Linked DNA regions of Coturnix japonica. The protein of the gene in region 2 purifies or fractionates together with the protein of the main gene of each other region. This does not show direct contact. Links are inferred from orthologs where the notes say so. Each region holds a gene or a part of one and is shown on either strand. Other genes may lie near its edges. The genes, in order: fructose-1,6-bisphosphatase 1; TRIM47; PPM1A.

The links.
Region 1: the proteins of TRIM47 (region 2) and fructose-1,6-bisphosphatase 1 purify together in Homo sapiens (affinity purification with western blotting; 3 studies listed by BioGRID). This does not show direct contact. The link is inferred for Coturnix japonica from reciprocal best matches to the Homo sapiens genes TRIM47 and FBP1.
Region 3: the proteins of TRIM47 (region 2) and PPM1A purify together in Homo sapiens (affinity purification with western blotting; 3 studies listed by BioGRID, with this or other methods). This does not show direct contact. The link is inferred for Coturnix japonica from reciprocal best matches to the Homo sapiens genes TRIM47 and PPM1A.

Annotation. Positions count from the first base shown.
Region 1 is NC_029547.1:37,637,117-37,647,680, reverse strand, and holds the start of fructose-1,6-bisphosphatase 1, read left to right. Parts: upstream 1-5,065; 5' UTR 5,066-5,119; coding exon 5,120-5,289; intron 5,290-6,700; coding exon 6,701-6,863; intron 6,864-8,652; coding exon 8,653-8,745; intron 8,746-9,772; coding exon 9,773-9,916; intron 9,917-10,564. UniProt on the Homo sapiens protein: Catalyzes the hydrolysis of fructose 1,6-bisphosphate to fructose 6-phosphate in the presence of divalent cations, acting as a rate-limiting enzyme in gluconeogenesis. Plays a role in regulating glucose sensing and insulin secretion of pancreatic beta-cells.
Region 2 is NC_029533.1:4,023,696-4,034,198, forward strand, and holds the start of TRIM47 (E3 ubiquitin-protein ligase TRIM47), read left to right. Parts: upstream 1-3,833; 5' UTR 3,834-3,911; coding exon 3,912-4,988; intron 4,989-6,430; coding exon 6,431-6,526; intron 6,527-6,640; coding exon 6,641-6,871; intron 6,872-7,357; coding exon 7,358-7,553; intron 7,554-8,071; coding exon 8,072-8,146; intron 8,147-8,744; coding exon 8,745-9,370; 3' UTR 9,371-10,503. Other genes in the region: TRIM65 (tripartite motif-containing protein 65), read left to right, coding at 386-823, 1,050-1,145, 1,218-1,451, 1,569-1,749, 1,977-2,060, 2,703-3,265. UniProt on the Homo sapiens protein: E3 ubiquitin-protein ligase that mediates the ubiquitination and proteasomal degradation of CYLD.
Region 3 is NC_029520.1:49,580,238-49,590,855, forward strand, and holds the start of PPM1A (protein phosphatase 1A), read right to left. Parts: upstream 5,564-10,618; 5' UTR 5,208-5,563; intron 1-5,207. UniProt on the Homo sapiens protein: Enzyme with a broad specificity. Negatively regulates TGF-beta signaling through dephosphorylating SMAD2 and SMAD3, resulting in their dissociation from SMAD4, nuclear export of the SMADs and termination of the TGF-beta-mediated signaling.

The DNA.
Region 1 (10,564 bases), on a different chromosome or scaffold from region 2:
GGAAGAAGTTATACAGTATGTTCATCAGTCAGGCCTGATGACTTCTCTTCTGTGTTGTACTACTGCATATGAGCTCCAGCTGCAGATCAGACCAGGTCCTGGTGTAAAAAGATAGAACACAATGGTGACATGTCCAAGATTGTATTATCAAAGGAAATGTATTTGCTACTACTGCCACTGGTAAAGTGAGGCTACTTGCAGCAATAATGGGAAACTGTGAGAAAAAAACCTAACTTCAGATCAGGATTTTATCGCTATCCATAACTGTATATATCTATTGCTATGTAGAAGTTAATTTAAAAGGATTAAGCTGCTGTTTATTCACCTTATCACAACCAAATAGATTCTGTATAATGACCTGGAGGAGAGGCTTCTTTCTACTCCCCTCTCACTCCCATTTCTTAAGTCATACCACCTCACAGTGGAGCTTAATCTGTGTGGGCTGAACTTTCTTGCTATTTCTGCAGAGCTGACCCAACATATGCTTGGCATCCCCTTTCTCTCCTCTGTGTAGTCTGCAACTGTGTCATCAAAGAAGTGTCAAGTAAACAGTGGAAGAGGGAAAGCACAGAGAAGGTCACAAGGGCAGTCCCTTGTTTTGTCAGTGCCTCTTTTTCCTATTTGCTTCTTCTGTCTCTCATACTGTGTAAATTGCTGACATAATCAGCCAGCTGTTCATTTTTACTCAGGTTTTTCCTCTCTGGACCAGGAAGAAGTCTTTTCCTCAATCTTCTCTGTCTACCTCTTTATATCACAAGACAACTATACTGATTAGTTGATGCTTAATCAGAATTTAGAAGCTGTGGCAATTGATGCAAACTACGGATAGAAATAATTTTTAAAATGTAGAGGTTAGAGGTCATTCTAAGTAGCTTTGCTGCCTACTTTTATCATGTAACCAAATATGGATTGTAAAGAGCAACAGGGAATAGCTATTAACAGTCTCCTTTCTTGGGCATGTATTTCACAGGCTTACACAAAAGAAGACTTTTGTGAATGCTGAGCTATGTTTTTGTATTCCCTGTAGTCTGTACCTCGCTAACAGTTATTTCTGATCAGTCCCCCTCACACAACAAACAAAGGTGGAAATGCCAACCACTGTAATTTCATAAGACTTGTTGTGCTGGTAAACACCTGCAATTACATGGAAAGTCTGTACAAAAGTAAAATTACTAAAGCCAAGCAAATGCTCAAGTCCTACCCTCAAAGCTGAACCTCCTGTGCCAACATTCATTTAAATTGTGGAACAGAATCTGAAACAACTGAGCAGACTGTTCTCTGGGGTGAAGTGACATAACTAGTTATTTAATCCGGCAATGAGATATGCAAGGACACTAATGGTACATCTGCCCAGAAATCTGCCCTAGGGGTAGCACCAGGGTCTGAGCAGAGAATTTGATTGTTTCCAATATGTTCTACCTCTGGCAATTCCTCTTGAATTTTCAGGTTTCCTTTTTAAATATAGAAAGGCAATGTTCTTCCATTTAATTGTTGCACTGAGAAACAACATCATGTAACCATGGCATTGATAAAATCTATTTCTTCCTGCATAATGAAGAGTCAAAATACTAACTCTACCATTTGACTGACCTTGTGCCAAGTGCACTGAAAATTCTTCAGGTTGGCAGCAATTTTTTGAATCTTGTTGATGTAGAATTAATTATGCTTTTTATGCTTTTCATACCTTTTATACTTTATGCATTTTATAAGATGGAAAGTGGTAGCATGAGTAATTTCAGATAGCATACTCTTTACTATGTTTAGAAGGTAGGGTCTTGTGGTTCAATAACAAATACAAGGTTTTACAATTCAACATTTATTTTTCAGATCCATGTATACTTTGTTTTCAGCACCTAGCGTCTGCATGTTACATACTTTGCCAGCTCATAGAGAAGTCCAAATGTGCTCTCAGAAGAGCCAGCCTCACAGTACAACACTGAAAGTGCTCACACGCTGCTTCCACGGGAGGGCAGTGTACAAACACAACAGGACAGTATACAAGCACAGCTTGGAAACCCCTCAGTGCAGTATTTATATTGATATCAGCTTTCCAGTTCAATTGGCAAAGTAATTTAATGCATGGTATCAAATTAATTCTATTTTCTAGTTAATATGTTAGATATTAATTTTTAATTGGTTTTTCCTTATAATTGCATCCCTCTCATGCTAATGCCTTCTGGTATATTTCACCTGTGTCCACTGATGTGATGTGCTTTGCTATCACGGTCATAAATAAATACTCTGGGATGCTGGCCCAGCATGCCAAATTCATGTAATAGATAAGCACTGAAGCTAAAAAGAGGAAAGACTGAATGTGTGGATATAAACCCACCTCAGAATTCCCCACATGACACTCTCCCCAGCTTGAAGGATTGTAATTACTACTGCAGTTTCTAATGATCCACCTCTTGAAGCAAATGATAAAAAGCCTGAGCCATCCCCTTCACAGTGTCCCAGTCCCACTCACCATGGCATAGTGAGTTAGAGATACCATCTGTTAGCTATCACCCTTGACTGTTAGATCCGACTCTCACACCACCCACCTGAAAAGAAACTTCCACATCTTTCAGACTTTTGCATGAAAAAAAATTTCTCTCAGCGAAAGTGGGATCTAAGTCTCCCCTCCCCATGTGGACACTCTTACTTCAGGGGAAGCCTTTCCAAAAGCACTTTATTCCCATTGTCCTTTTGGCTGTCAATTGAATCTACAAGAGGGAAGCTTGGTAACAAAGTACCTGGGAATAATTTTATATCTCATTTTCTACATAATAATAATTTGTTTTAAAATGTTGTGGATTTGCACAATTACAACTCTAGATCAGCTGTGCTCTGTGCTTAGTTGGATGTCATCTGTTTGCAAACAAGACCATGTTTTCTTCCATACAGAACTGACAGTTTCAGCAATGTTTAATCAACCAGTACTGACCTTTCTTCTCAAATGACAGAAATTCATTTTCAATAAATGTTTAACTACTGATTTCTAGGGGAAAAGTTCAAAACGTGTACAGACTACATCTAATCCTATATTAGTTTCACATTTACCACATAGCATGATTGCTGTAGGAGTTCTCATGTGTTTTAGGATGTAAGACAAATTGTTTTGCAGTCCAAGAATCTTCTGACATTTGCATTCTCTTCCTTTTTCTGACCCCCATTTTGCTCCTGTTATTTACCCATGTTTTGAGGGAAATGGTGGATGGAGCCACTGTCCATCATATTTGAAAGGTCATGGCAGTCTGATGAAGTTCCCACTGACCAGAAAAGGGGAAATATAACCCCCATTTTCAGTGAGGGGAAAAAAAAGAACTGGGGAACAAGAGGCCAGCCAGTCTCACCTCAGCGCCTGGCAGGATCATGAAGCAAATCATCCTGAAGGCCCTACTAAGGCACATGGAAAATAAAGATGAGGTGACTGCTTATAACCAACATGGCATCATCAAGGGCAAGCCGTGCCTGACAAACATGCTGGCCTTTTATGATGGATTTACAGCATTAGTGGATAAAGTAAGAACAAATGACATTAATCCACCTGGACTTCTGCAAAGCATGAATGGTCACACTCAGAGAGTTGCAGTCAGTGGCGAAGTATCCAAGTGGAGACTGGTGAGGAGTGGTATTCCTAAGAAATCAGTGTTGGGACTGGTGTTATTAACTTCTTTGTAGGCTATGGGGCAGTGGGATCAAGTACACCCTCAGCAAGTTTGCAGGCACTTGGTATAAGCTGAGTGGTGCAGTTGAAGTGCTAGAGGGATAAAATGCTATCCATAACTTGAGAAGTGGACCCATGTCAACCTCATGAAGTTCAACAAGGCCACATGTAAGGTCCTGCACCTCGGGCAGTCTCAAGCATAGATGCAGGTTGGGCCAAGAATGGCTTGAGAGCAGGACTAAGGAGAAGGATTTGAGGATGTCAGTTGATGAGAGAGATTCAAGATGAGCCAGTAATGTGCACTTGCAGCCCAGAAAGGGAACCGTATCCTGGGTTGTACTAAGAGAATTGAGACTATTAGGTCAAGGGAGATGATTCTGCCCCTCTGCCCTCATGAGACCCCACCTGGAGTATTGTGTCCAGTTCTGGAAACCCCAGCACTAGGACATGGAGTTCTTGGAGCAGGTCCAGAGGAGGGCCACGAAGATTATCAGAGGGCTGGAGCACCTCCCCTATGAGAACAGGCTGAGTGAGCTGAGGTTTTTCAGCCTGGAGAAGAGAAGGCTCTGAGGAGACCTTATAGAGGCCTTCCAGCACCTGAAAGGGACCTACGGGGAGAGGGGGCCTATAGGGGAACAGATTTTTTCTAAGGGCAGGTAGCAACAGGATGAGGGTAAATGGTTTTAAACTGGAAGAGGGTAGATTTAGACTAGATATTAGGAAGAAATTCTTTACTATGAGGGTAGTCTAAAGGGAGGTATCCCTGCCTATAGCAGGGGGATTGGAATTAGGTGATCTTAAAGATCTCTTTGACCCAAGCCATTCTATGATTCTGTGATCTTTTTGCATTGCCTTAAGATATTTGAAAGTTCTGACAAAGAGGCAAGAATTACACACATACTACAGCACTTGGTAAAATTACTAAGTTTTCTTTTAGCGAATGCATATTTGAGAATTGATCAGAATTGCTTCAGGATATATCCACGTTATAGTCTAGATAGGTAGCAGAAAAACTGAGCCAGATGTCTTGGCTAGATAGCCATTTCTCATGGTACAGAACAAACTGTACAGTGCAGATTCTGTCTGAAAACTTGTGTGCTAAATAAAGCACTAAGCTTTACATTCTCACAAGTCATCTGTCCTTGACTACTAGGACTTAAGTTATTTAATGACAAGGTCAGTTCCTACAGACAACAGTATCACAGAAATGACCCGTGTATGGGCATACTCTAGGACCAGTGGACATGAAAGTACGTTTTCCTGAACCACTGAACGGCTCAAGCTGGAAGGGATCTTAAAGAGCTCCGAGGCGCCGCACGGATCCCACCTAAAGACCTGCCGTCGCCAGCCCCAGGGGCGGAGCGGGGGGTGGGCGGAGCGGGGGGCGGGCAGAGGGGCGAGGTCCAGCCCTCGGGAATAAGTGAAGAGCCGGCGGCTGGGCAGCGGTGCCTCTCGACCCGCGCCAGCAGCATGACTGACCGCTCCGCCTTCGACACTAATGTCATTACCATGACCCGCTTCGTGATGGAGGAGGGCCGGCGGGCGAAAGGCACTGGGGAGTTCACGCAGCTCCTCAACTCTCTTTGCACCGCCGTCAAGGCCATTTCCACTGCCGTGCGCAAGGCCGGCATCGCCAACCTGTGAGTGACACCCCTGCCCCGAGCAGGGGTGGGGGCTGCCAGTCGGGAGCTGCGGGAGGTGGGATGGCCATAAGACATCGGGCTGCTCTGTAGTCTTTCCGCTCTTCCCACCTTCTTCTTGGGACTGCGGCAGCAACTCGGACAGCATCTTCTCCCAGGAGTAGTAGGCAGTATTACTTGCTTCTGGGTCCCTTTAGCAGACACTGCTGCTGATTGACCCTCACATAGACCTTCATCAAAAAGGTGTGGGTGTTTTGAACCAGAAAACCAAAGGAGCAGGCTGAAGGGCATGTATCAATGGGTTACTGCTCACTGGAGTTAACAACTCAGTGTCAGAGCACCACTTTGTGCTACGTGGTACTGTGCTAGTTTTTCTTTTTTCCACATTATTTTGTAGCACTGTGAGTTTGTGAGGATGACTGCAGACTGTGGCAGCCAACAGAGCTGACACCAAGGAGTGTTTGCTCTGGGAACACTGGGAGGAAACTCAAACACATAGAGTCATGACAGGTCCCCTGCAGGCAGCACACCGTATTTCTAAGTTCAGCATTGCAAAAGACCTGAATTACCAAATTATTCACACTGATCAGTGTATCGTGGCTGAAGTACATTAGAGAAATCTCAGTATGTGCAGAGCTGAGTCCTGCTTTTCTCTGCTGAGAGCTGAACTTCCTGGTCTCTCTTCTGGATGTTTTCAACATTGCCTGTCACAAGGTTTCCCAGTACTTCCTGATGTCAGATAGAGTAGTGCTGATTAGCTTGCAAGGCTTTATTTGTGTTTTGTGCCTGTGTTTCTCAGCTTTATTCCCAAATAAATGTTTACCACTTAAAGTGAAAAGCTGAAAACACTGAACCATAAAATTGGTGATTTATGTGTGAGCAAAGTGTTTGTTTTGGAACTTGTACGTGGAACTACTAACCAAGAGCAAACTACATTGAGAAGTTACAATGTAACTAGCACAGTCAGATTCACTTCCTAAGTATAAAGTTTCCAGCAACATCTTAGCTATTAGAGTAAGCAGCTGTGACAGTGGAGATAGGATGGAGGGACAACATTTAGGTCTTATAGTTAGTATAAAGTAATGTGGTTTTGTAATTCAGCCTTCACAGCCTGCTCTGGCTATATGTGTCTATAATTCAGGGACAACTGAAAAATAATTCCCTCTTTTGTGTACTTCATCTTCAGTGTCTTCTAGATTTTTTCATGACACAGGTGATCCGTGCTAAGACCATAGCCAGTTTTAGCAAGGATGCATTGGACAGCAAGTCAGGTGCAAAAACCTGGGAGATCATCTATCAGTACTGTTTCCACTGCAGGATGTTGTACAAGCATAGACTTGTCAGAAATGGGCTGATTTGGAGGCTGCAGCGCGCTCCTCTGACTGGTTGCTCTCTACTTGCCTTACCTTAGGTATGGGATTGCTGGTTCTACCAATGTGACAGGAGATCAGGTGAAGAAGCTGGACATCCTTTCCAACGATTTGGTGATTAACATGCTCAAGTCATCTTTCAGCACATGTGTTATTGTCTCTGAAGAAAACAAGGATGCTGTAATAGTTGAAGCTGACAGAAGGGTTGGTAACTTTGAAAATTCTCAGTACTCTATTTCAGACTGATCTTTACAACTGTGTCTATTCAAACATGGGAAATTGGATCTGGGCTAAAAATTTCAGAGAACATGTACTTTTCCATATGGACATATACAGTCTGTTTTCAGTTAGTTTGTTCTGTAGGTGCACGTGTTCATCTGTCCCCACATTTGTCCTGCCTGCTATTTCTGTTTGCAAGACTGGATTTTTAGTTTTGTTTTCTCTGATGTTCTTCCTCACTTTTTTTTTTTCTCTCCCCACTTTTTTCCTAATTGTGGAGGAAGTGTTTTTCATGTTTCTTCCTCCTGATCTCTGGAGCTGCACTCTGAGTCTATACAGCACTTTTGTAAAGGAGCTTTATCAGTAAAACACTGACTACTTGCTGCAGATCAGATCTTCACTTCTCCAGTTTAGGCAAATTCTCCCAGAAGGCCTGAAAATAAGATTTTTGCAACAACACAAAAAATCATTCCAACTTTTTGACTTTAATTATATTTCCTGGTCTGCATATCCTTCTTGAATGATCATAATTCCTTTCTGCTGCTTAATATTCTGGTGTGCAAAATAAATAAATAAATTAAAAAAAAAATCAGAGCAAAAAGTATAGAGGAAAAAAACAGCAAACATAATTTAAAAAGTATAACATTAGTTTCGTCAAAGCAGCTGTCTCTTTCCTTCTTTGCCGAGAACCCCTCAAAATGGATTGTGTTAGCATCGGATGAATTTTAGATATGCTTTAGATCTGAACAAATACAGTTACAGATCCTTGTGAGGATCACTGAGAGAGGCTCAATGTTAATGCTTTTATTTATTTATTTTATTATATATTTTTTTTAAACAAAATGTGAGATAAATGTCACTTCTCTCAGAATTTCTACCCATATGATAGCAGAGTATAGAATTTCTGAGTTTAAAAACGTTTCTGGTTTCCAGGATTGAAATTGAATGAGAAGCAAATATGCAAACATATTTATTATGCATGATTATTAGTGATTGTGAACAGCATAAGGGAAAAATGAGCTACATAAAAAGCATAGTGGAATCATCTGTTTTCCCTGTACTGGCAGTTTCCTTTGTCTGCAAGAATCCTTAATACTGCCATAGGCAGAAACCACTCCTCTCTGGGGGAACAAGCGCCCAGCCCACAGGGCAAAAGCAGGAACTGGCTGCAGTAATTTCTGAGTGCCTGTCAATTTCTGAGCAGAAGACTTTGTTAAGCTGTTCAAAGTGGAATGTGCAGTAAAGTGTATAGATTCTGAATGTCAGGTCTTAATGTCATTTTTAATCCCTCTAGTTTTAGCTCTTTATAAAAAGAAGATAGATCTTCTTGTCTGTTTCCTTAAAATTCAGCATACAGTTTCATTAGAAATGAGAAAATGTAGTCTAAATAGTAGATGTTAGAGGATGTCTATCAAAATGGATCAGCATTAACTTCTTATATAAAGCTAAACTGATTACTTAACTTTTTAAATAATGAATTTAAAAAAAAAAAAAAAGTTGAATATGAGAACCTGCTTTGCTGTTTCATCATCTGTTAATTACTTTAAGAATTCCCCAGATTCTACTTTAGCACCAATCACAGTTGTGATCAAGAATGAAATCCAGGTCAGAGATCCTTCAGTTACAAAGTTATGTTCCTTCATAATCTCTAAGAACATTTTAATTTATATTGATATATGAATGTTTGAGAATATTTATCTACTGAATACTTCAATTTGTAGGAGGTAAGCGAATTATGTTACTAACCTTACTGCTCCCCATTTTATATTTTTAGGGTAAATATATAGTTTGCATAGACCCTCTGGATGGATCATCTAACATTGACTGCCTTGTTTCCATTGGGACCATCTTTGGTATCTATAGAAAGGTAAAATGCTTTCCAATAGAATGGGAAAAATTATTATTGTGCACCTTTGGGTAAAATAGAATTGCATATGAAAATTTAATAAAATCTCACTAAAGTTATTTGTGAAAGAGTCTTTCCAGGACTGACTGTAAGTTAAATCTGCTGCTTCAGATGTCTGTATGAAAGATTTGTAAGTGATTTGCACCACTGTCTTAGAATATGAACATTAGAAGAACATGGAAGCCTTGCTGATATTTAATTAGTCAGCTAGAGGAGTCACCCCTTACCTGGTATTAGATTCATGAATAATCTTCTTGAGACAAATTGCCACGTAATTGTTATCTACATGTGAAATGTGCTTTCAGGTTTTCTTTTTCTCTATACTAATGTTAGCCTGAGGACAGGCTTCAAATATAAACCAGAGCTGAAATATGGCATGTGCATTTGAGTGTCTAATTCACTCTGAAAGGCAGAAACCTTGTCTGAAAAGCCTGAAATACTGGACTTACATGTCACAAGATGGGGGAAACAGTAAGCCAGATAAAAACACACCCAACTGTCTGTTTTAATCATTTTTTGTTCTCACATCCCTCAAAGTAACTATTTTCCACTTCGTTTTTTGATGAAGCAAAGGAAAATAAAAGCAACCCTAGGCATTTTGCTCAGCTGTAAACTCCATGAGTCATTTTTCATTGCTTGCTTTTCAACTATGACTTGGAGTTTTGCTTCTAGCCATGTTCATCACCACCTACACAGGAGGTGTGCAGCTCTATATTATCGCCTTAATCCTTTCCTGTTTCCTGCATTCCAACAATGCTTATATAAGAGCATTTCTAAATGAATGTGTCTCTTCCATGTAATTTGTGCACTATATGTAATGCATACGACAATAAAACACATCCATTAGGAATCCTAGTTGTAGGCCATGCAAGCATTTGTGCTACGTGTTGCATGAATATGCAGTAAGAAGACATTCCTATCTCAGAGTCCAATAATAATACATACCAGATTTAAAAAATGAAGTAATTTTTTTTCCTCCTTGTTCTAGGTATCCCCTGATGAACCTACTGGGAAAGATGCTTTACAACCTGGGCGCAATCTTGTGGCAGCAGGTTATGCTCTCTATGGGAGTGCCACAATGCTGGTACTGGCTACTTCTGCTGGAGGTGTCAACTGTTTTATGCTTGATCCGGTGAGAATGTCTTCTGCTTGTTTGTTTATTTAGGGATAACAAGGTACTGTCCGTAAGAACCATTTGTTCATCAAAAAGGTCAAAGGTACAATTTTCAAATTAAAGCTGATGTGGAAAAATGAAGTACGTTCTGTATCCTGCCAAAACTAAGATCAACAGATTTTTGCATTCCATCTGCCTGCCACAGTCAGTGATTCAGTAATGGGAAGACAGTTGAGTCAGTGAAGCAAATATGCAGCATGTGTCAAATAATGTGGCATTTAAAACAAGCTATTTTCTGCAATGCAGAATGCAGCTGAGGTTTTTCTATTTTTTCTTTTCTTTTTTTTTTTTTTTTCTTAATGCTAGGGCCTTAGTAAACTGTTGAAGCAGAGATTCTTAACTGACTTATGTATTTTCAGATCTCTCCACGATAAGTAAAAGAGTAAGTGATGTGTGTGAATGTGTTAGACGCTGTAGAACACACTGATGCATAAGCTTTAAAATCAAAGACATACTGACAACAGCAGAAAGTCGTTTGCTACAATAACCCGTCTTTGTGTTATCAGTCAACCACAATGCCTGCATTAAAGTTTTAGAACCTGCAGCAGTCAAGAAGCAGGAAATATACTGTGGTGCTCCCTGTAAAATAAGAGCTTAATTAGCTGC
Region 2 (10,503 bases):
GTAGCCTTTATCACTGCAGAAAGGAGGACAAGCAGCTGCTCTGACAGATGCTCTCTCAAGGAGCAACGATTGACAAATGAAAGAGTGAAATTGAATTGCACAGAACAGTGCAATTCCATCATTCCACAGTGCAAAACCCATCCAGTGCATGGATACAATGGCATGCCTTGCTCTGAGCCCTGTTAGCCCCTTGCATGGTGCTGTCAGTGCAGCATTTCCTGCATCCTGCAGTGCTGTGTCTGGGCAGCTGCACCCACTGGGTGTCACTTTAAGGGTACTGCTGGCCCAGAGCCCTGACCCGCCCCTATGCTCAGCGTCACACATCTCTTCCTGCTCTGCAGGCCGCTTCCAACCCTCCTGCTCCTTTCCCCATCCCCAGCTCAGCATGGCCTCCCCCACCTCGGAGAAGCTGGAGGACAAACTGCTGTGCTCCATCTGCCTGGAGCTCTTTGTGGTGCCCATCACTTTACCCTGCGGGCACAACTTCTGCGAGCACTGCATCGACAACCACAGGAACAAACAGGAGCAGGCGGTCAACGGGCCCAAGAGGGGCTACACGTGCCCTACGTGCCGCTACAGCTGCGAGCAGCATCTGGAGCTGAAGAAGAACGTGACGCTGAGCGACGTGGTGGAGCTGGCACGGACGGGCAGGGTGCAGGCAGGGGGCTGCGAGGTGGCCCATGTTGGGCTGTGCTCGTTGCATGGCCGCCCGCTGGAGCTGTACTGTGAGGATGAGCAGCGCTGCATCTGCTGCGTGTGCGTCGTGCGGAGGTGCCAGCAGCACCGCACGGCTCTGTTTGAAGACGTGCGCTCCAGGAAGCAGGTGGGGAAGAGATGGGGGGGTTGTGTGCTGAGCTGTGTGGCTGTCAGGCATGGAGGGCGCCCCAAAAGGCAGAACAAGGGGAGCCCCGTTGTGTGACGTTTGTGATCCCTTTGGTTTAGAAAAAAGGGGTGTAAAGGCACGAAGCAGCAAAGGAATGCAGCCTGCCCTGCTCCTAACATGGTCCTTGGGGGCAAGGGGCTGCAGTATGGGCTGCCTCCCTCCGCAGGCTCAGCTGGAAAGGTCCCTGGAAGAAGCCCAGAGAGAAGCAGAGAGGATGGAGCAGGCGCTGCGGGAGCTGGAGGAGCGGGCACAGAGCATCGAGGTGAGGCCACAGCCACCCCAGGGCTGGGCTGGGTGGGAGCACTCCACACCTCACAGCCTTCCATCCCTGCAGGACTCTTCTGAGAGGCTCCAAGCTGTGATCCTGAGCAAATTTACCCACCTGGAGGAAGCGCTGGCCAAGTTCCGGGAGCAGATGGTAGCCAAGGTGAAGCAGGAGGAGTCAGTGGCTATGGGACATATAGAAAAGGACCGGAATGCATTGAAGGATCATCTGGAGGCTCTTGGGCAGCACCGGGACCAGGCACAGCACCTGATGGACTGCACTGACCATCAGACCTTCCTCAAGGTACCATTGGTACACCCCAAATCCCACCCGTAAGGATGGAGAATGGGCATTTTGGGGCTGCCTATGCAGGTTTGGGGGCTGTCACATCTCCCCTGATATCTGTGTGTCCATCTGCAGGAGTTCCTGCAGCTCCCAACCCTGCAGAGCATGGAGGTGCCACCGCTGGTGGAGTTCAACGTGGCTGTTGTGATGGAACCCATGAGCGAGATCCTCACTGCTACCTCCAGGCTGCTGCTGGAGGAGCTGCCTGCCTCGCTGAGCCCCAGTGCCCCTGAAGCACCTGACCCCATTGCCCCAGGTGAGCTTCAGGCTGCCCTAAATGCCTCCACCTCACTTTGGCCATTGAGACTGTGCTGGGACACACGGGGATGAGGGCAGGTATCTGGGTACAGGAGGGGCTGGGTGGTTCCTGCGTGTCCCCTCCTTGCTGCTCACTCCCAAATGTGCACCCAATGGGGTTCCCTTCTCCTCTGCCCTCAGCAGCTGGGTGACATCACCCTCCATGCCTGTCCCTGTCACCCACAGGCCCGGTGCAGCCCGAGGAGACACCAATGAAGGTGGTGTCCAGCCCTGTCCCCAAGTGCCGGCTGCGTGCTGAGCTGCTGAAGGGTGAGGAGCAGGAGGGGGGGATGCTGCAGGGCTGGGGCAGCACTATGGGGTTGGGGAGAGGCTCCTTAGTAGGGGGCAGCAGCACAAGGGATGGCTTTCCCACAGTGCCTGCTATGGGGTCAGCCCCTGCTGATCTCACCCCATTCCCACCCTTCCCGATGCCCCAGATTTGGATGCAGCACTGTCCCAGTGCCAGCACCCAGAGGGGTGTGCAGGGCTGATCCAGTGCCCACCCCACACTCAGCCCTTGGTGCCCCTTCCCTTTTCCTTTAGGGACCGTTTCCTAAATGCTTCCTTTCCCATCTCCTCCCTGCTGAAAAAAAAACAACCCAAATACTTGTAATATTTAGGGTGCTTTGGTCAGGTTGCTTTTCCCAGCAAGGCAATCAGTGCATACAGGACCTATAAGGGTTTCTTCCACTGAGTCGCATGAGCTGTTCTCAGTGTTATTAATAGAAAAACCAACAACATTTATTAGCAGCAGCCAGGAGCCCAGAATAGCCAATGGGACCAGGTCAGTAAATCCCACAACCCCATATCTCCTCCTCAAACCCATCTGTTTAGGGGGAAGGGGGGTTCTGGTGGGGGCTGCCATGAACTTTGGGTTGTGCTGAAGCATCCCCATGTCATTGCTGTCCCCAGATCACCGAAACCTCACCTTCGATCCCGACACGGCCAACAAGTACCTGGAGCTGTCGTGTGCTCAGCGCAGAGCCAAGCACGGCCCCAGCACCGCTGCAGGTTGGCAGGAGCGCAGCCATCGCTTCGAGCCCTGGCAGGTGCTGTGTGTGCAGAGCTACGGGCAGGGCCGCCATTACTGGGAGGTGACCATCTCCAGCCATTCTGTGGTGCTGGGGGTGACTTACGGTGGGCTCTCCCGGCACAAAGTGAAGGGCTGCAAGTTCAACATTGGGCTGGATGGCGGCTCGTGGGGGCTGCAGGTGAGGGAGGACAGCTACGTCGCCCGGCACAAGGGGCAGGAGGAGAAAATCCAGCTGCGGCCATACACCGAGCTGGGGGTCTGCCTGGATTATGAGTGTGGGCTGCTCTCCTTCTATGGCCTCGGGGAGGAGGTGCAGCTCATCCATTCCTTCCACACCGTCTTCACGGAGCCGCTGTTCCCCGTGTTCTGGCTGTGTGAGGGCCGCACCATCACTTTGTGCCACAGGGACTGTGAGGGCAATGATGGAGAGCTGGGGCTGTGACATGTTGGGTAGGGAATAAGGCACACAGGTAATGGTGATGCTCTTGCAGCAGGGATGGAGACCCCAATCACTGTCCATAGGGACTTATGGGGGCTGTGCTCCCATGCAGATGGGATGTGGAGATGGGATTCCCTTTTGCCTTTTGACCTGGAGGAAAATGAGGCTTGAAGAGCCCATGGGAAGGTGTGGGGGCTGCAGGCAGGTCCTGTGCTCCCAGCCATCCCCACCCCCTCACACTGCTTTGGAGGTGGCAGAGCTGCCTTTTGGGGTGACACGTTTCTCACTGGAAGAAGCTGTTTACCCCAATAAAGTTCTGATTTCCTGCTGGTGTGACCTCAGTGCAGGTGGGGCTGAGCTGGGTGCCTCTGTTCCTGCATGTCCAGCAGCAGAAATAGTCATGGCTCTGTTTACAGCAGCACAGAGAAAAGGGAAACGTGATTTCCTATGTCTCTGCCCCAAGGTTGATCTGACCCAGAATAAAACCTCAAAGCTTTGAAGCTTCTCATCCCTGGGGATGCTGGTAAGTGGGTGAAATTGGCCACTGGGCTCAAAGGTGCTGGAGCTGAGCAGGGGAGAGAATCAGTTCCGCTTGTTCCCTTTGGGGAAAATAAGGTTTAGAAGGAGAAAGCTCATTTTTGGCGGACAGATGGGTCCGTCCCAAGGATGGATGGGGTGGATGGACGGGGCGCTTTTGGTCCATGGGCACAGTGACACAGACACGGGGCACCCACTCGCAAGGGGAGAACGCAGACCCCTCCTCACGGCTCCCGGATCCCCGTGGGGGGGGAAGGAGGCCCCGATCCCCCCACCCCGAGGCGGCAGAGGGCGGAGCGGGCGGGCGGAGCGCGGTGTCCGACCGCCCCATAGCGCCGGTGGGGCCGCTGGGTCGGGTCGCATCGGGATGGAGGGTGCGCCCGGGAGAGCGCAGCCGGTGCCTTCCGCCGCCACCGCCGCGGCTCTGCGGTTGGCGTTGGCCGTGCCGGGTTTGCCCGACGGTCCTTTCGGTTGCCCCATCTGCCTGGATCTGCTGAAGGACCCGGTGACGGTGCCGTGCGGCCATAACTTCTGCCAGGGCTGTCTGGGGAAGCTCCGAGGGAGGACGGGCCCCCCCGACGGGGCGGCGGGCGGGGCGGCACGCTGCCCGCTGTGCCAGGAGCCCTTCCCGGCGGCTCTGAGGCTCAGCAAGAACCGCGCCCTGTGCGAGGTGCTGCCGCTGCTGGGGGCCGCAGGGGCCGGGTCGTCCCCCGACGGATCGCGGACCCCCCCGGCCATCGCATCCCCTCAGCCCGGGCCCGGATCCCCCCCCGGTAGCGCCGGGTTCAGCACAACGGGACCCCCCGGAGCCGCGTCCTCACCCACCGAGATGGCGCCGGGGGCAGAAGAGGAGCCGGAGGGAGAAGCGGAGTTGGAGGAGGGGGCTTCGGGGGTGCTGTGCGATGTGTGCCCCGAGGGGAGCCGGGCGGCGGCTGCCCGCTCGTGCCTGGTGTGCCTGGCGTCCTTCTGCGGTGCCCACCTGGAGCCCCACCGGCGCTCCCCGGCGTTCCGCTCTCATCGCCTCGTAGCCCCGTTACGGCGCTTGGAAGAAGGGCTGTGCCCGCGGCACCTGCAGCCCCTCGACGGCTTCTGCAGGGCCGAGCAGACCTGCGTGTGCGCCCGCTGCCGAACCCACGAGCACCGCGGCCACGACGTGGTGACCCTCGAGAAGGAGCGGGAGCTCAAGGAGGTGCGTGGGGGGCAAAGGGTGGGCGGCAGGGAGGGTCGAGGGGTGTAATAGTGGTTCTGAGTGGGAACCCTGATGCTGTGGAGGAGCTCAGCCTGGCACAGGGGTTGCACGGTGCCCTATGCGTGCGGTGGGGAAAGGGAATAGGGAGGATGGACCAACCTTGCGGTCCCTATAGGTTTGGGGCTGGGGGTGAGAGCACCTGGGCCCCCCCACACCAAGGAGCTGCACCATGTCAGGGAATAAAGCAGGGTGCTGTGTTATGGGGGTGAGGGCTGCGTGCATCTCCCCATGTGGGTGATTGGGATGCCCTGGATGGGGTGGGCGCTGCATCCCACCCTCACATGGGATCTCACCCCAGCAGGTGGGCTGCTTGCATGGGGCGCAGTGGGACCCCACAGCCCATCGCTGGGGCACTACAGTCAGTCCTGCCCTGTCTGTGGGTTTAGTGCTGCAGCCATCAAGGGACCCCCAGCTCCCCCCACAGGGTGCCTGCCTTCCCCGTCTGGTTCCCACAGCTCCATCAAGGCAGTTTTTCTCCTCTCCCTGGCTGGCTGCCCGCCCGCCTCTCCCGCTCCATGAGCCCTTTGTGTTGCTCCTTTTGGCAGCAGGGATTTTTTCCGTCACTCCCATTCCCAGATGTGGCTGAGTCACCTCCCAACTTCTCACCCACGAAACCTCCCTGTGGTTCCGAGTGCGGGGAGATGGAGCTGCCAGGTTGGCAGCGTGGGGGCATCCCTGTCTCATTGTGGGGCCATGGGGGACCTCAGGGGTGACCCCCTTCTCTGGGTACCATGCAGACACCCAGCAGCAGCCCCAGGTTGGCTGCTTGTCCTTCGTGGGCTCTTGGGGATATGGGGAAGCCCTTCTATTAGTCATAGGACCCTTGAAATAGAAAGCTATTTCCTCAACAGGCACTGCTGAGTGTCGCTGCTGTCTGTGGGGTGGGAAGGAGGGACTGAAAAAGCTCCTCTCCCACCTCCCCAGGCTGAGCACTGGAGGAGGTCAGCCCAGTAACACACGTGATGCTCCCAAAAGGCTCCCAAGGGGCCTGTCCCCATGGTGGGCAGCAGGCTGGGGCTAACAATAGCCATCAGGAAGCGCTGTGCTTCCTTTGCAGCACCTCATGCTCCTGAGCAGTTTTGCTTTGCTCGTACAAGAAATATCCCAGGAATTAATGCAGTGCTGAGTTCCTGCACTGGTCCCAATTAGCTTTTTCCAGCCTTGAGCACCTTGCTGAACATGCAGAAGGGATGTTTGCAGCTTGGTTGGGTGGATATAGAGGGTTGCACAGGGAGGAAATAGGGAAGGTAACTGGTCATTCCTATATACCCAATAACAAAACCATGGTTTTGGGGAGGAGGGGGCTGCAGCTGGTCTGGGTTTATTGTCGTGCTCTGCTTCCTATGGATATGGAGCTCAGTGCTCGTCCTTTGTGTCTGCAGGCTCAGCAAGCCAAATTCCTCAGCAGTGTGGACAACGAGCTGGAAGAGCTGGCTGTCACCATCGCACAGACCAGGAAGATGGTGGAGCTCATTAAGGTGCCTTAAGGGATGGACCTCCTCCATTAATGGGGCACTGCCGGGAGCTGGGAGGGTCCTGGGTGCCCCCTCCTTTGCTTCCAGTGATGCTGACCCCTCTGTCCTCGCACTCAGGGTGTAGCCAGCAAGGAGAAGGATCGGGTGGAGAAGCTCTTTGCAGAAGCCTCGGAGCTGCTGGCCACCTTCCAGAAGGAGGTGGCTGCTTATATTGAGGACAGCGAGCGCTCCATGCTGGGGGAGGCCGAGGCTGATCTCCGCTGGAAGGAGGAGAGGCGAGCCAAGCTGGCCCAGGGCAAGCAGAACCTGGAGAACGTCCCCAGCACCGACACCATCTACTTCCTTCAGGTGCGTGGTGGGCACGGAGGTGAGGAGGAGGAGCAGGTGCTGTCTGCTGGGTTTGGTCCCCTGTCACACAGAGCTGAAGGTTGTGAGGCTGTGGGGTCCCCCACCTGTTTGCAGCATCCTCTCCTTGCTGCTGGGCTGGGCTGGGCTGCCATAGCTTTGTCCTCCATCACCCACACCTTCACTGCAGCCCAGGCTCGGTACCTAGCCTTGGGGATGGGGTGCCCCGCTGCCCCTTGCAGTATTCCTCAATGTTTTGCAGAGGAGATGCTTCTCTTCAGATGGGCATGGCCTGAGCCTGGGTTTAAAAGAGAGCGAGGAGAAGGAGCCAAGGACACGTGGCCGCCCTCCTCCCTTCTGCAAGGCTGCTTTGGGGCCAAGTCCTGCAGGCTGCCAGTTCCCAAATCCTCCGGGGCCGGGTGGGGTTGCGGAACAAGAGGCAGCTTCGGCTTGTTTGAAACCTCCTGAAACTCTGTCTTTTTGGCTCAGGAGTTTCAAGCCTTAAAAATAGCCATGGAAGACAACCTCTCTCCGGCTCCGAGCTTCCAGAAAGAGCTCAACTTCACCAAGTGCTCCCAAGCCGTCTGTGCCGTCAAGGATGCTCTGTCAGCTGCCCGCAAAAGCCAGTGGGACTGTTTGCAGGGGAAAGGAGTGGATGGGATGAGCTTCCCGAAGGCAGAGGAAGGTCTGTGCCCACCTGGCCCCATGCCCATGTGGGGAGCCCAAGGGTGCATCCTCCTGTCGGGGTTGGGAAGATGCCTGTGGGCTCTGGGGCTCCTGGAAGCGCTGGCCCATCTCCCAGGCATGGTTGCACAACCACTGTCTGGGCTAACGCCTCCTCCTTGAGGTTTTATGAAGTTTTCCACGGAGACCAAAGGCTTGAGAGGCAACAAACAGCCTGAGAGCTAGGCACGGCCCTGTGGGAGGGGGCAAGGGGCCAAAGAGCTGTGAAAGGGGACTGTTCCTTCCCAGGACAGGCAGCTCCCTTCACTGGGCAGGTTGTGGGCTCCCTGAGCTGCAGGGTTAGAAACCACAGCGGCTGGAGGGCTGGGATGCTCCCTTCTGTGCTCTCACTTAGGCTGAGCTCCTTCCTGTCCCTCAGTTTTCTGGATACCAATGGGGGGCTTCAGGGATGATGCTTCAGAAGTGATGGCAGCAGTTTTGCTGTGACAAACCCTTTCTGTCTCTGTTTCTTTTCCCCAGCAATGACCAAGTCTTCGTTTCCAGACAAGTCAAACAATCCCGCCTGCCTGGAGAGCCGCGAGTACTTCCTGAAATGTAAGTGATGGGGTTTTGCTTTGACAGTTGTTGCTATGGTCCATCCTCCATCCCACAGGCCCTGGCCCCATTGCTATGTGCCAGAGGAAATATTGCTCAGCTAACGAGGAAGTCTCCTTGCTTTCCTGACAACGACCATAATCTATTTAGGTGATTTTTTTTTTCCCCAGCCTGTGGTTCTGCCAGAGCAGCTGCCACAGGGCTGTGAGCACACAGTATAAATAATGCTGTTCTCCTTCCAGAGAATTGAATCCTGTGTTAAATTAGATCAGGGTTGGTGCATCTGCTTTGGGCCAGACGCTGGTCAGCATCAACTGTGTGATGCAGAGGGGGAATCTAGGGGCTGTGCAGGGAGTGCTGCGGTGGTAAGGAAGGGGAGGAGAAAAGGAAGGTCTAAAATGAGGCAGGAGATGGGAGAGAGGCCATTCTGTGATTCTGCAGCTCTATGATTTAAAAGGAGGAGGACAGGGTGATGGCTTAAGGATGCTGCAGGAACAGAGTCAGAAAAAGATCATGGGAATTATGAGTGCTGGAGCAGGGTGGGCTGGGGGGAATTCCCTCTCTCCTCATCCTCCTGTCTTCTCCTCACCCCATACAGTTGCCTTCATCATCGACCTGGACAGCGATACGGCCGACAAGTTCATCCAGCTCTTTGGCACCAAGGGAGCCAAGCGGGTGCTCTGCCCCATCCCCTACCCAGAGAGCCCGACCCGTTTCATCAACTGCGAGCAAGTGCTGGGTGTGAACCTCATGAACCGGGGCAACTACTACTGGGAGGTGGAGCTCATCGATGGCTGGGTCAGCATCGGCGTCATTGCCGAGGTCTTCAATCCACAGGACTCCTATGACCACAGCCGCCTGGGCCGCAACACGTGGTCCTGCTGCCTGCAGTGGAACGGGCAGAATTATGCTGCCTGGTTCGGTGGCTTAGAGTCTGTCATCCAGCAGCCATTTTTCCACACGATCGGGGTCTTCTTGGAGTATTCGGAGAAGGCTTTGACCTTCTATGGAGTCAAGGACTCCAAAATGACGTGCCTGAAGCAGCTCAAGGCTGGCTCCTTTGGGAAGGCCCAGTCGGACCCTTTCCAACATAAGATCAACCAGCAGTTTGCAGCTCTGTTCTCCTTCAAGCTGAAACCAGCCTTCTTCCTGGAGAGCGTGGATGCCCACCTGCAGATCGGGCCGCTGAAGAAGGATTGTGTTTCAGTGCTGAAGCGCAGGTAAGTGCCCAAGGAGAAGAGCCCAGAGGAGCCATTCATCATGGCTTCCCTCCGTACATCGGGGCAGCCCCACTTGGCAAAGCACCTTCCAGAACTGCAGCATGGAATCATCTGGGTTGGAAGAGACCTTCAAGACCACCAAGCATCATCCTGACTGACTGCCAACTGGAGTCCCACTGCCGACCCACGTCCCAGCACCGACCCACATCCAAAAGCCTCTTGATGCCCATCAGTGCCGCCAACAAGGAGTGAGGATCTCTGCATCCCTCGTGTTTGGCACGCTGTGGAAAAGCCGTGGTCCTTTCTAGGTGTGCTGGAGCCCTGGGCTGTTCTACACCACGTCCAAACATCGCTGATGGGAGAAGGAAGGGACTTGCTGGGAAACTCCCAATTCTTCAAGCACACAGGGTACATCTGAGCTGTAAATGCACCCTATAGCTTAGAGGAGCCTTTCAAACAACCAAAAGCTGCTACGAGTACAGCCTGGAGTAAACAGTGTTTCTTAGGCACATTGATAAAAGCCAATACTTAAATCCCTTAAGACACCAGGAACAAGTAACAATTAACAACAACTGCTCTCAAGCCAGCGTTCCATCTGGGAAAGGTGGAGGCTTCAGGCACGGTGCCCATTCATGTGTCCTAAAGGAGCTTTGCCAGCACTGCCCCAATGATGCTGCAAAGGCAGCACAGTGCAGCTCCTGTCTCAGCCCTCCCTGCCTTCCTCTGGGTTTATTTTTCCTGGGCTTAGTTTGCTACCTACCTCCTGAAGCTCACTTGACAGAATAGTAATGCTGGGTAATAAAAAGAAAAAGAATATATGGGGCCGGATTCTTTGCTGGCATGAATGAGTCAGTGGTGACGCACCAACGGTCAGCGGGGCTGGAAAAATGGCCCGTTGAGCTAAATATACAAAATATATGTGTATGTATTCCCCAGGAGGGTAAGCTGGAAGTCACAGTGATATATTCAAAGGGAGCCAAGGGGGGAAAAAAAAAAGTGAATGTGAAAAACAGGCAGGCGTAAAGCCAGGAGGTTTAGAGTTAAAGCCACGTTTACATAAACACCGCGGCTCCAATAGCTCCTGTTGCTGGTGAGTGGGTGTTCTTTGCACACGGAGGTGCCGGTCCCCAGCAAACA
Region 3 (10,618 bases), on a different chromosome or scaffold from region 2:
AATGGAAGGGCAAGCCCTGCAGAATCCCACCATTTCTCTGTCATGGATGCCGTTGCCATGTTTAACCGATACCTTCACCACAAAGAACATCGTGTTATCATTGTTGTACACAGCACAAAGAAAATGATTAAATGCACTGAATCATTACAACATTTCCTCCTGAATTTCCAGCCCTTGTACCTCAAGTTGTACACGATGATACTCATCTCGTGATCAGAAGACGTTTCCATCAGGGCCATAAGTTTTCCTGCAGAGCCAAGTGCTCGATATTACGAAACAATTCAGTGTAAGGTGCCATTCTTCAGACTCTTAAATTTAGTGAGAAAGTATTTGTGGTTGCAACACAGCAACACTGCCACTATTGTGGTGAGGAGACATGAAAAGCAGCACACGAGACTTCAAACCTGCTGACTACACATGGGAGTAAAATGGGAATAAAATAGGAAATGTTCTGAAGTGCACAGCTGTAACCTGGCTTTGCTTGCAAGGAAATTACATCAAAACGATGCCAGAAGCACATTAAGATCTGGAAGTCAAATCCTCAAAGCTTAGGAAAAGCTGCAGTTTGGTATCTGCACACGCAGAGAGCTTTTATTTGACAAAGCCATTTTGCCCTCACATCCTCAGCATTCCTCTCTCATTAAAAGGACAGTAAATGAGTGCTAGAATAAAGGCATTTTCCCCCAAAGTTTATTTCAAAAAAGAAAATGAAATCCAAGGAAAAACAAAAGTCAATTGTAGCCTTTCCATGCAGACAAGAACTTCCAGGACAGCAGGCTTTCCTCTGAGAGCCCAGCACCCACCAAGCTCAGCTCTGGCGCTGTCAGTGCAGCCAGAACTAAAGGGTTACCTGTGATGGACGAGGCTCTCCTGAACCCAAACCTGAGCTCGCTGCAGTCTGAAATACCCTGCCACTGAACCGGGGTGCTGAGGAATTCATGTGCTCTTCAGAAGTTTAAGCAGTGTGAAGATCAGTATTTCCTAAGCTTAGCAGGCCTGGACTGACAGCCTCAGAACAGCTCTGTACAGACAGAGGCTGTAGTGGATCTATAGGAAGGGTCTATCCAAATCTTACTGTATTTATTAGGAAAGAAACTGATTATCTCTTAACACAGTGTCCTACAATGTAAAACTTAACTATTTTACCTCCCTACGTTTCTCTGCATTCTGAATCACTTGGTTGGTTTTATATAACTTAGCAGACAAGTGGTGAACTCCTTCTAATCATCTCCAAACACGAACAGCTTAGGCACAGATTACACAGCTTCTGTGGCTGCTGATTTTTAGGGTATTCCCTTAATCTAAAGCCAGCTGAGTGTTATGCACAAACAGCCACAATACGTGGCCATGGAGAACTCAGACTGCCATGCAAACTCCATACCAGGAGTACAGACAGTGTCAATGTTAAGCGTAGCTACAGAAAATCTTTCAAGTCACAGTTGAGACCCAAAGATGAAAGCACATTTCATCCCCTGGGTCACAACCCAGTAAGGCACGTAAGTATGAGTTACATCACACATCCAAGCAGCCCCACATAATTCAGCTGCACATTGCGTATCAGTGTAAGCACATTGAAGTGCTTTGCTTTATTTAAACTGCAGCTATCAGAACACAGTCACATTATACTTGAGTTTCTCAGGTTTACAAGTGATTTTCCTGGAAGATTTAGGACCTATTTTTTTTAATCCATTAAAATATTCTCACCTGAACCAAGAACTGAGGTGTTAGCAGTCAACAAAGTAATGGACTTTCTCCTTTATGTGCAAACTTTTAGCATTTCTCCAAATTTCAATACTGAAACCTGATCAGCCAGCTTTGTTTTACCTTCATATTAGTCCTAACATGCTCCTTTGCTAATATACTGTTCTAAAGTTTACACTCCAAACAGCAGAAGCCTACTTCAATGGTATGATTTATAGATGGAGGAAGTGTTTATTCTGTTGGTTTGGTCACATCTGAACACCTTTTTAGAAGAGCTGTTAAAAAAAAAAGCAACAAAACAGAGCAAATGTTTGATATATTTATAAACACACTTTGTTCTGCAGACTCTGGTAGCAAGCTGAAATAACCATTAGTTAATTTTACTGGTATGTGAAAACAACAACAAAAAAAATATTAAATGAACACCCGGTTAAACAAAGGCCTGTTGAGCTTAAACACACACAGAAACACAAAAACAGACTTGACAGATACCTTGAACTTAGCGTGGCTTAATAAAAGCACAGCTTGGCAGATAGACGTACAGCCAGGCCAACCTTCCAGCACTGGTTTCACACCTACAGCCCTCAGCAGGACACCACCTCTATCCAGGAACAAAAAGCAGCACACCCCCTCAATTATCACGGTATCTCACTTGTTCTCCTATCACAATTTTCTTCCTAGCCTCAAAGATTTAAATGATTCGCTCTAACAGTATTAAGTCTTAATAAATATGAAGTTCCTTCACAGATGGGAAAGGAAGCAACAAGAAGCCCCAAGGAGGTAATGCTGCCCTCACAGATCCATACCACCTATTTGATATTCATACCACCACATCATGGCTCAAATACATGAATTCTTTCTAAACAGCTCAAATTTTAGCTAAGTTCACTCCTTATCCTACTACTTTTAACTGAAATATGGATCATATGACAAACACAAGCGACACCAATTAAGAATCCAGCAACAAACCTACATTCAGAAATAGCTTAATTTCCAAAAGAAGAAATCTGACCGATGTTTAATCATCTAAGAAGAGCCACAGATTATATATATATAGATATAGATCGAGGAAAGGAGTGAGACATGGTTTAAGAGAAAGGAGGAGCAACAGTCGCAATAGCACAGTATGCAATAGCAGCAAGGCACGTTGCATAGCTCAGGTGTAGCTCTGCTAAGCTGCTGTTGTCTTGACTTCAAACAATATTATTCAAGCCTTATTAAAATGAGTTGCAGGTCTGCAGAGACAAAACAAATCTAGTTATTTTGCAGAACTTCCCATTCCAAAATTTGCTTGTTTGTAAATAACTTGTAATTATGTAAATGCACTTTGACATTAGCACTGGCTAATGTTTCTACATGAGCATCAGAGCATGTAATGACAAAACCAATATCAAAGTCGATATTTTAGTATGAAATGTGCTATTCTTAAATTACCTACATTTAGGTCATTAAGTGAAAGTAGTTCCTTTAAATTCCTAGTTCCACTCTAAAGGGACAAGTGCAATCAGATCTCATATTGACAGCTGCATTCAAAACCATACCAGTTACATAAGTTTGCAAATCACACTGTGCCAAAGTACCTAAGCTTTTTAACGACAGTTCTTCAAACGCTCTCTCAGCACGAGTGACTCAACTTCACCATATAAAACGCGCTCCAGATAAGAAGCAACCAGCTTGGTTTTATAGAAAAGGCTTTTTTTGTCTTCTGCTTTAATTCAAATTGCACCAAGTGAGCTCGGCTTGTTTAGACCTGCAAGCTTTGCCATTCCTTTGGCACTTCCATCTCTCCTCCTTGTTTCCAAAGTCTCTCAAGCTTAATTCCAGACAGCTAAGGAAGCACTTGGAAAACAGGTAGAGTTTTCTACTGCACCTCAATGAGAAACGTTTACCAGAAGACAACTAAAGGACTAAACGTATTGGCCAGAGCTAAGCTGTGCCTACCCTCTAGCAAAACACCCTTCCATCTGAAGACAGCGAGAGCACAGACCAGATGTCTCCAGTACAAACTACAGTTAGCAGAGGGTTTCATCAGATAAATGTGACTGTGAGGAAATTAGTAATTGGCATAATGCATCAGCAAGACTTTTACTTTTAGAGCAGCCCCATGTACAAAACGCACGCCCAGGAAGACAGGCCTGGAGGGAAAAGGTCTGAGAGCAGCTCTCCCTGCCCTGGTGAGAGATGGCTGGTACACCTAGCACAGCTATTCTTCTTCACTATCTCTCCTTTGATCACACAGGGAAGGAGTACAACTTCCTTGACCCATGTTTTCCTCCACCCCTTCCCTGTCTCTGATCTTATTCATAGAAAACCTAGGAATAGTATCAAAAGAAAAGCTGTCGGAGAAGAAACGTGGGTAGAACTTGCACAATTAATGCCTGTTAATTTGGCAATTCACACAGGGTCGTGAGCACAGCAGTTACCTTTAATTTCATGGGGGGCTTCATGAATCCTTCAGCAGCCACCTGGGCACTGAAGCAGTACGTGTAGAGAATAAGCAAAAGGTCACACTGATCCTATCTGCAAAGTAAGTTCCTAGAATCACAAGGGTTAGAACTTCTCTGCTTCACAAGATGATTCTACTTACTCTGTCATTATCCATCATGATCTATGGAAAATCGCCTACCACCAAAGAGGACAGAGCTAAAGCCTGTTGCTCACAGGATTTCATTTAAGACTGCCATCTGCTTCAAAGGAGGAAAATAATTCTTCAGCGTGACACACGCAGCCTTATGGTGACCACACAACCACCATTTCCTCATCTGACAAAAGGTACGGCGCAAAACTAAGTTCCTCACGAGCACTAGGTGGTTTTGCAACAGCAGGATTTTGCCATACCCGTGGCACGGCACTGAAACATTTCAACGTGCGCAAAACAAACACGCAGATATCTACGAGATGCCTACGAAATAGGTTCTGAAACGACGACCCAGCCCTGTGCCTTCCTCAGTCCAAGGCAAGGCCGGAGGCTGGATGTAGCTCTGGAGCGGAGCTTCGTAGCACCGCACAACTTTCAGCTGCGAAGGCTCCATCTCCGCAGCCACACCGCAACCTTTGCTCACACGACGTCGCTTCCAAAGGCGGTGAAATAAACCTCCTTCAAAGTTTAAAACGCCCTAAAGGCGCCGCCGAGGGGAACCCACCCGCCGCATCACGGCAGCGCTCGGGGAGCGCCCGATGCTCCGACCCTCGCTGTAGGGTGGGGTGCTTTATAAATAGATGCGTGCTTTTTTTTTCCCCCCTCTCTCTATTCCCCTCCCAGCGCCGTGCCTCAAGCATTTGGGTGGCGATGGGAGAGGAGGAGGCTGTTTATAGCCATTATTAAATGAACTCTGAAGCGGCCCAGGGAGGGGGGAGGAGAGGAGAGGGCAGCGCGCTGCTACCTGCGCCAGGCCGCCGCCTGCGCCCCAAGCCCAGCGCCCAGCCGCACTCAGGGCCCCTCAGGTCGCCCCCCCACCCGGGATGGCGCCTCACCGCCCCCCTCAGCCCGGCCCCGCACCACTTACCCCCTCCGGGCCGCGGCGGGGACGGCACCGGCTGCGGCGGCGAGGCACGGCCGCGCTCCCGGCGGTGTGTCGGGAGGGGAAGGGGGGGAGAGCAGGGGAGGAGGAGGAGGATGAGGAAGGGGGGGGCGGCCTCGCCTCAGTTCATTCACAGGCGGCGGCTGCCGAGGGCGGCTCGCTGCCCACGGGGAGCCCAGCGCTCATCTCGCCTCCCGCTCCGCTCCGCTCGGCCGCCGCCGACCCCCCCCCTCCTTGTCCCCGCTCCCCTCCCGAGCTCCGCGCCCACCCGCGCAGCGCCAACGAGCGTCTCCCCGCCGCGCTCGCGCACGCACTGCACAGCCACCGCCACCGCCTCCTCCTCGTCGCTTCTGCGCATGCGCCGAAAGAGCGGCGGGGAGGGGAGGGGGAGGCGGGAGCGCGCTCGTAGTACCCGGATGTTGGGGCTGCGAAGGTGGGGGCGGGGAGGTATTACATCACCCTGAGAGAGCGAACCGCGCATGCGCCGGGCGGGAGCTCGGGGGAGGTGACGTCATCTGAGCGCCGCCCCCAGCGCTGAGGGGAGAGATGTGGGCAGGGGGCTGAGGGGGGTCGGGTCATTCCTACACCTCACCCTGATGGTCATGGTGTGTGGATGCAGCCCAGGATACAGTTGGTTTTCTGTGCTGTGGGGACACACTGTTGGCTCATATGGTCCTTTTCTATGGGGCTGTGCTCTGCCCTCTCACCCCAAAAAGGAATGGTTGAAGTAGGTACTTAGTTAAAGAATCAGGAAGGTTGTTGAGGTGGTTTCTGTATTTGACAATAATACGGAGCTGTATGTGAAGGTTTCCCGTTGGAAAAGTGCTGGTTGTGCTTCTGCTGCCATTCCTGTAATGATCGGCACGGCTTTAATCTACATGTGCCAGCAGCAGGAGGCAGTTAATGGTGGATTAATTGAGGATTCTTGTACAGGCAAGGCCTATAGAAGCAGAGATGTAGAGGGCAAGGAAAGCTGAAATTAATGTAACAAAACTGCATGGTTGCAATGCTTCTCCAAAGGATGGAGTTACTGCGTTTCAGCATGACTTCAAAATCTGCAGTCCCCATTGCTGACTGGAGTGGAATGGTATGTTCAGACTCAGTCCTACAGTATTCGTTCTAGTCATGTTAGTGTGAGCATGAACAACACTCAGTAGCACTTGGTATTAACTCTTTCACTCCCTTAAGTTGCAGTGAAATACAATTGTTTTGTTTGGAGTAGGATTTGGATCAATAATCATCTAAATATCAAACATATTGGTGAACTAATGTCCAGGCTGCCTTGAATCAGTGGTGGAAATCAGGCACATACAGATAATCATTCCTTTCATGCTTACAATGGTGTCTAAAGCAGCTTGGTCAGTTTCCCTGCTGAAGGTGACTTTTCTCTCCTGCAGTTTCTCTGGATGTAGATGAAGGTGAGATGACAGCCCTGACAAGATTCTTAAATTTTCTGATGGCTCAAATTAATTATTTAGAGCTTGTCTAACGTAAATCTTTATACTCGTGTAAAGCTTGTAATAATCTTGAACTTGCCAGACACTTACGCTTGGCCCTACCTCATCACTTCTCCAGTGGGCTCTGCCTATTTTTAGAATGTAAAAGCCAGCAGGATGACTGTGCTGCAGGCTTTGCGTCTTCTTAGTACTGTTACTGCAACACCCTGGTGTAATGATGTCTGTAGGTACCTGCTGAGGCAGCTGTGCCATTGGGAACTCCATAAAATGCCAGTGCTGTAGCTATGATTAATAGTCACACGATGTTTAAGTCATCAAATGCACACACCATCCTATATCCAAACTGGATGTATCTGAAAGATGTCACAAAGACTATGAATGTTTGAAGAACACAGTATACAAAAGCCCTGTGCTCTTTAAGTGCAGCAGTTCTGATATGATTTACTTTCTGCTGGATTCTTGTAGGGGGCTAAACAAACTGACATGCTTTGCCTCCTCAGAGAAAAAACATACTCTCCATTTACAGGGTTTTCTGTTTGTTTTTGTTAATTAAAAAAAAAAACATTTTGTGAAAACAAAAACTTGTATTTTGCAGCCTACAAAATCATTATGGCATTGCAGTGTGGTTTTCTGATTCGTGCTTAACAAAAAGAAAGCATTTCTCACCGATTCTGTTCTTCTACTGAGAATTTACTGATGGGAGTAACATGCTGTTCTGGAAAATCAGCCAAAGTAAAGCACTGTGAGACTCAAATATCAACAGAGGGAAAACCATTTTTACTCTGAAAATTAATATGAAGGTTTATTATAGAATAGTTACTATTTTTCTCTCCTCTTTTTTTCTTCAGATCTTCATATTCTATTTATAGATTTCTAATTTGTCAGTACTCATCAGATATCACATTTGCAATGATATTCCAAATACAAATAAAAAGCATATTTTTAATATCTTTTCCATTATAGCTATTGATTGGTGCCTACTACTCAGTAAGGCAGGTGTAGGCTAATAAGTTATGTCACACCTGTGCTGGCTGGGAGGATTGTGCTGAGATATGGAACGTGGTTGGTTTTCCCTGCAAAACTTGGGTATGAAAAGCTTGGGAGCTGCAGCCTTGAGTAGGAAACCTGTATAATAAAGGTTTGTTATACAGGAAACCTGAATAATAAAGATTTGCTCTTGAAGATTATAATTCAGTTGCTCTGTAGAATATTTTCCAGATTTAATAGTAGCATTGGACAGGACTTTGGCAACTGACTGACTATATGAGCTTAAGAAGCCTTGTAACATTCCCTCAGTCTTCCTTTTCTTAGAATCTTGCTGGATGTGTCAGAGTGACAGCTGTGATTCTGAACCTTTTGTCCTTAGCTAGTACTAGTTTTCAGTGTACAACACAGTTTTTGAACTTCCTAAATGCTTTTTTTTGTTACATGATGTAAAGACCAGGTTTAAGCCTGGCTTAATGCACTGGAGTTGGAAGGGACCCTAAAAAGCCACTGCACCAAATTCATGATAGTAGGATGTAAATGATGGTCTCATTGAGATCACCTGCTTTACTCTTCAGCACAGAAACCGTGAAATGGCTTAAAGTGATATTAGTAAAAAACTGAAAGTGATTTAAAATGTATTAAATTCCCACGTGACAGGTCTTAAGCACAAATATTTTCCACGGTTCTTTTCAGTCTGAAGGGTTCATGCTTTATTGAATCCCCATTTGTCAGTGTACAAGATGTACAAGATGTTTTTGTTAGTTGCTGGAACTTGAATTTTCTAGAGGTAGTTTTATTTTTACCTGTAAGACAAACTGTGAGTTACCCAACAATCAGAATATTTTATCACCCAGGCTTTAGGCTATTTCATATATCGGATAGTTCTCCCGATTTAAAAATGTAAGGGTACATGTGAGTTGCTGTTCTCGTTTGCTATTAGTAGTCTGTGCATGAAGGCCTGTATCCTCACTGAAGTCAGTACAAAGCTTCCATTGACCTCAGTGTTGCAGGATCAAACCCTTAGTCATTAGCATGTTGTAAAAACGGCTGTTGTCTCAGTCAATTTCAATGGGCCTGGCTACAGTTGTTAGTTGTTTAACCTAAAAATTAGCTTAGCAATTACAGTTGAAACTACATGTCAGACTGTTGATACACAGGAATACATCATCCTGAGTCATCAGGGCTTCAATGATGCTCTTAGACTTTTATAATTATTAATGTTCAAGTGAGAGATTCTGAAATTGAATAAAGATTGGAATTTCCAGATGTGAAGGAGATTCATATTCTGTGAACTTTGCCTTATTAGTCCTTTTGTTCTATAAACAGCCGTATCTAGTTGCCTTCTTCACACAACCAAAAAGCTTACTTCTTCCTGCTCCCATTCACATAAGTCTGTTCAGTCAGTTGTCCCTTTCAACAAACAACACAACCTGAGGCACAGCTGGGAAAGTTCTTTTGTGCGTGTTTTAATTAGTTGCATCAAACTGCAGTTGATCTAAAACCAACATGTCAAAATCAAATAGCCAAGGTTTGGAGACTGTGCAATCTGAACATTGCTCGGTGTTCTGCAAGATGGGTTTGTAGAGTACCAAGGCTTCTGGAGAATCCAAGGTTTAAATGATATTCTGATTCATGCCATCTAGGCCCATTTTAATTGATAGCTTAACTGAGGTTTCACTTTAGTTTCATTACATAAGCGTAGACATGGTGTGTCTATAAGAAGTAAGACTTCATACTTACTGGCATAAAGGACATCATAAAAATAGACAAGAGATCAAAGCTACGTGTGATGATGACTTCTATTAATATCAGTTTCTCGCATTTTTATGACCACCCCCAGCCTCGTGCCAGTGTTATATTTCTTTGAGACGGAGCAGAAGAAAACATTAGCAAAGCAATAAAGGCAATTATTAAAAAATAAACCCACAACTCCATGTTGTTCAGTTCAAGCTCAGTTTCAGGAGAAACATATCAGAAAAAAAAAGATGATCTCATAAACTGGGACACATTAGTTTATGCTTGAGTTTTATTTTTTTGTAAAGCATTCAAGATATCCATTGCAAATAATGTGGTGCAGTTTCATATCAAAGTATTACTCACAACATAGACGGGACTTGGAGATGATCCAAATCTCCACCCTGCTGAGATGGGATTCTTCCTTCTCAGGGAATTTCAGTTCATCCAATAGATTAAGAAAGAGTCCAGCTACTTCTTAAGAGATTTGGTCATCTGATTTTTTTTAGGTGTTTGAAATACGATTGCTTTCTTGCTTGTTTTCATTCATTGCAGTCTGTCACCTATGTATTTATTTAGTATTTTATATTAGTATTTGAATTAGATTTGTGTGTATGAAAGATGTTTTTATCAATACATGTATTGATAAAACACTGTGTTTTTATCAATACATGTATTGAAAAACTTTTGTAAGGATAATCAAAATAATTGGTTAGTAGCTGACATTTAGCATGTTATATTCTAGTTCCCCCTTGTGTTGTCGTACCCTTGGTATGTGTTCAAAATAAATAATATAACCCTTTGTAAGAAACAAGGCACAGAAAAGGCAAAAAGCTTGGTTTATAATGATGAAGAAAAACAATTAGGTAAAAATGGGAAAGCATTGGTGATGCAAATTTGCAGCAGTCAGCTGAGTACTGGCTTGGAATCATTAGCTCACTCTGCAGAGGTCTCAAGGTTGCCATTCTGTGACATAAATTTCAATTAATTATGGACACAGTTTCAATATGAATGTAGCAGTTGACCTAAGCTGAACCCAAGTTAGATGAGAGGCTCATTACCAGTAATGGGAATTTTCCTGCAAGTGCAAACTGAAAAATGCAGTAACATACCTTCAGAGCACCAAGCAAACAATTCTCTTACTCATTCTCTAGGTAAAATCAGTGAACACTTAAAGATAATGGTTGTGGAATGTTTCATTCTCATCAACAGCAACCT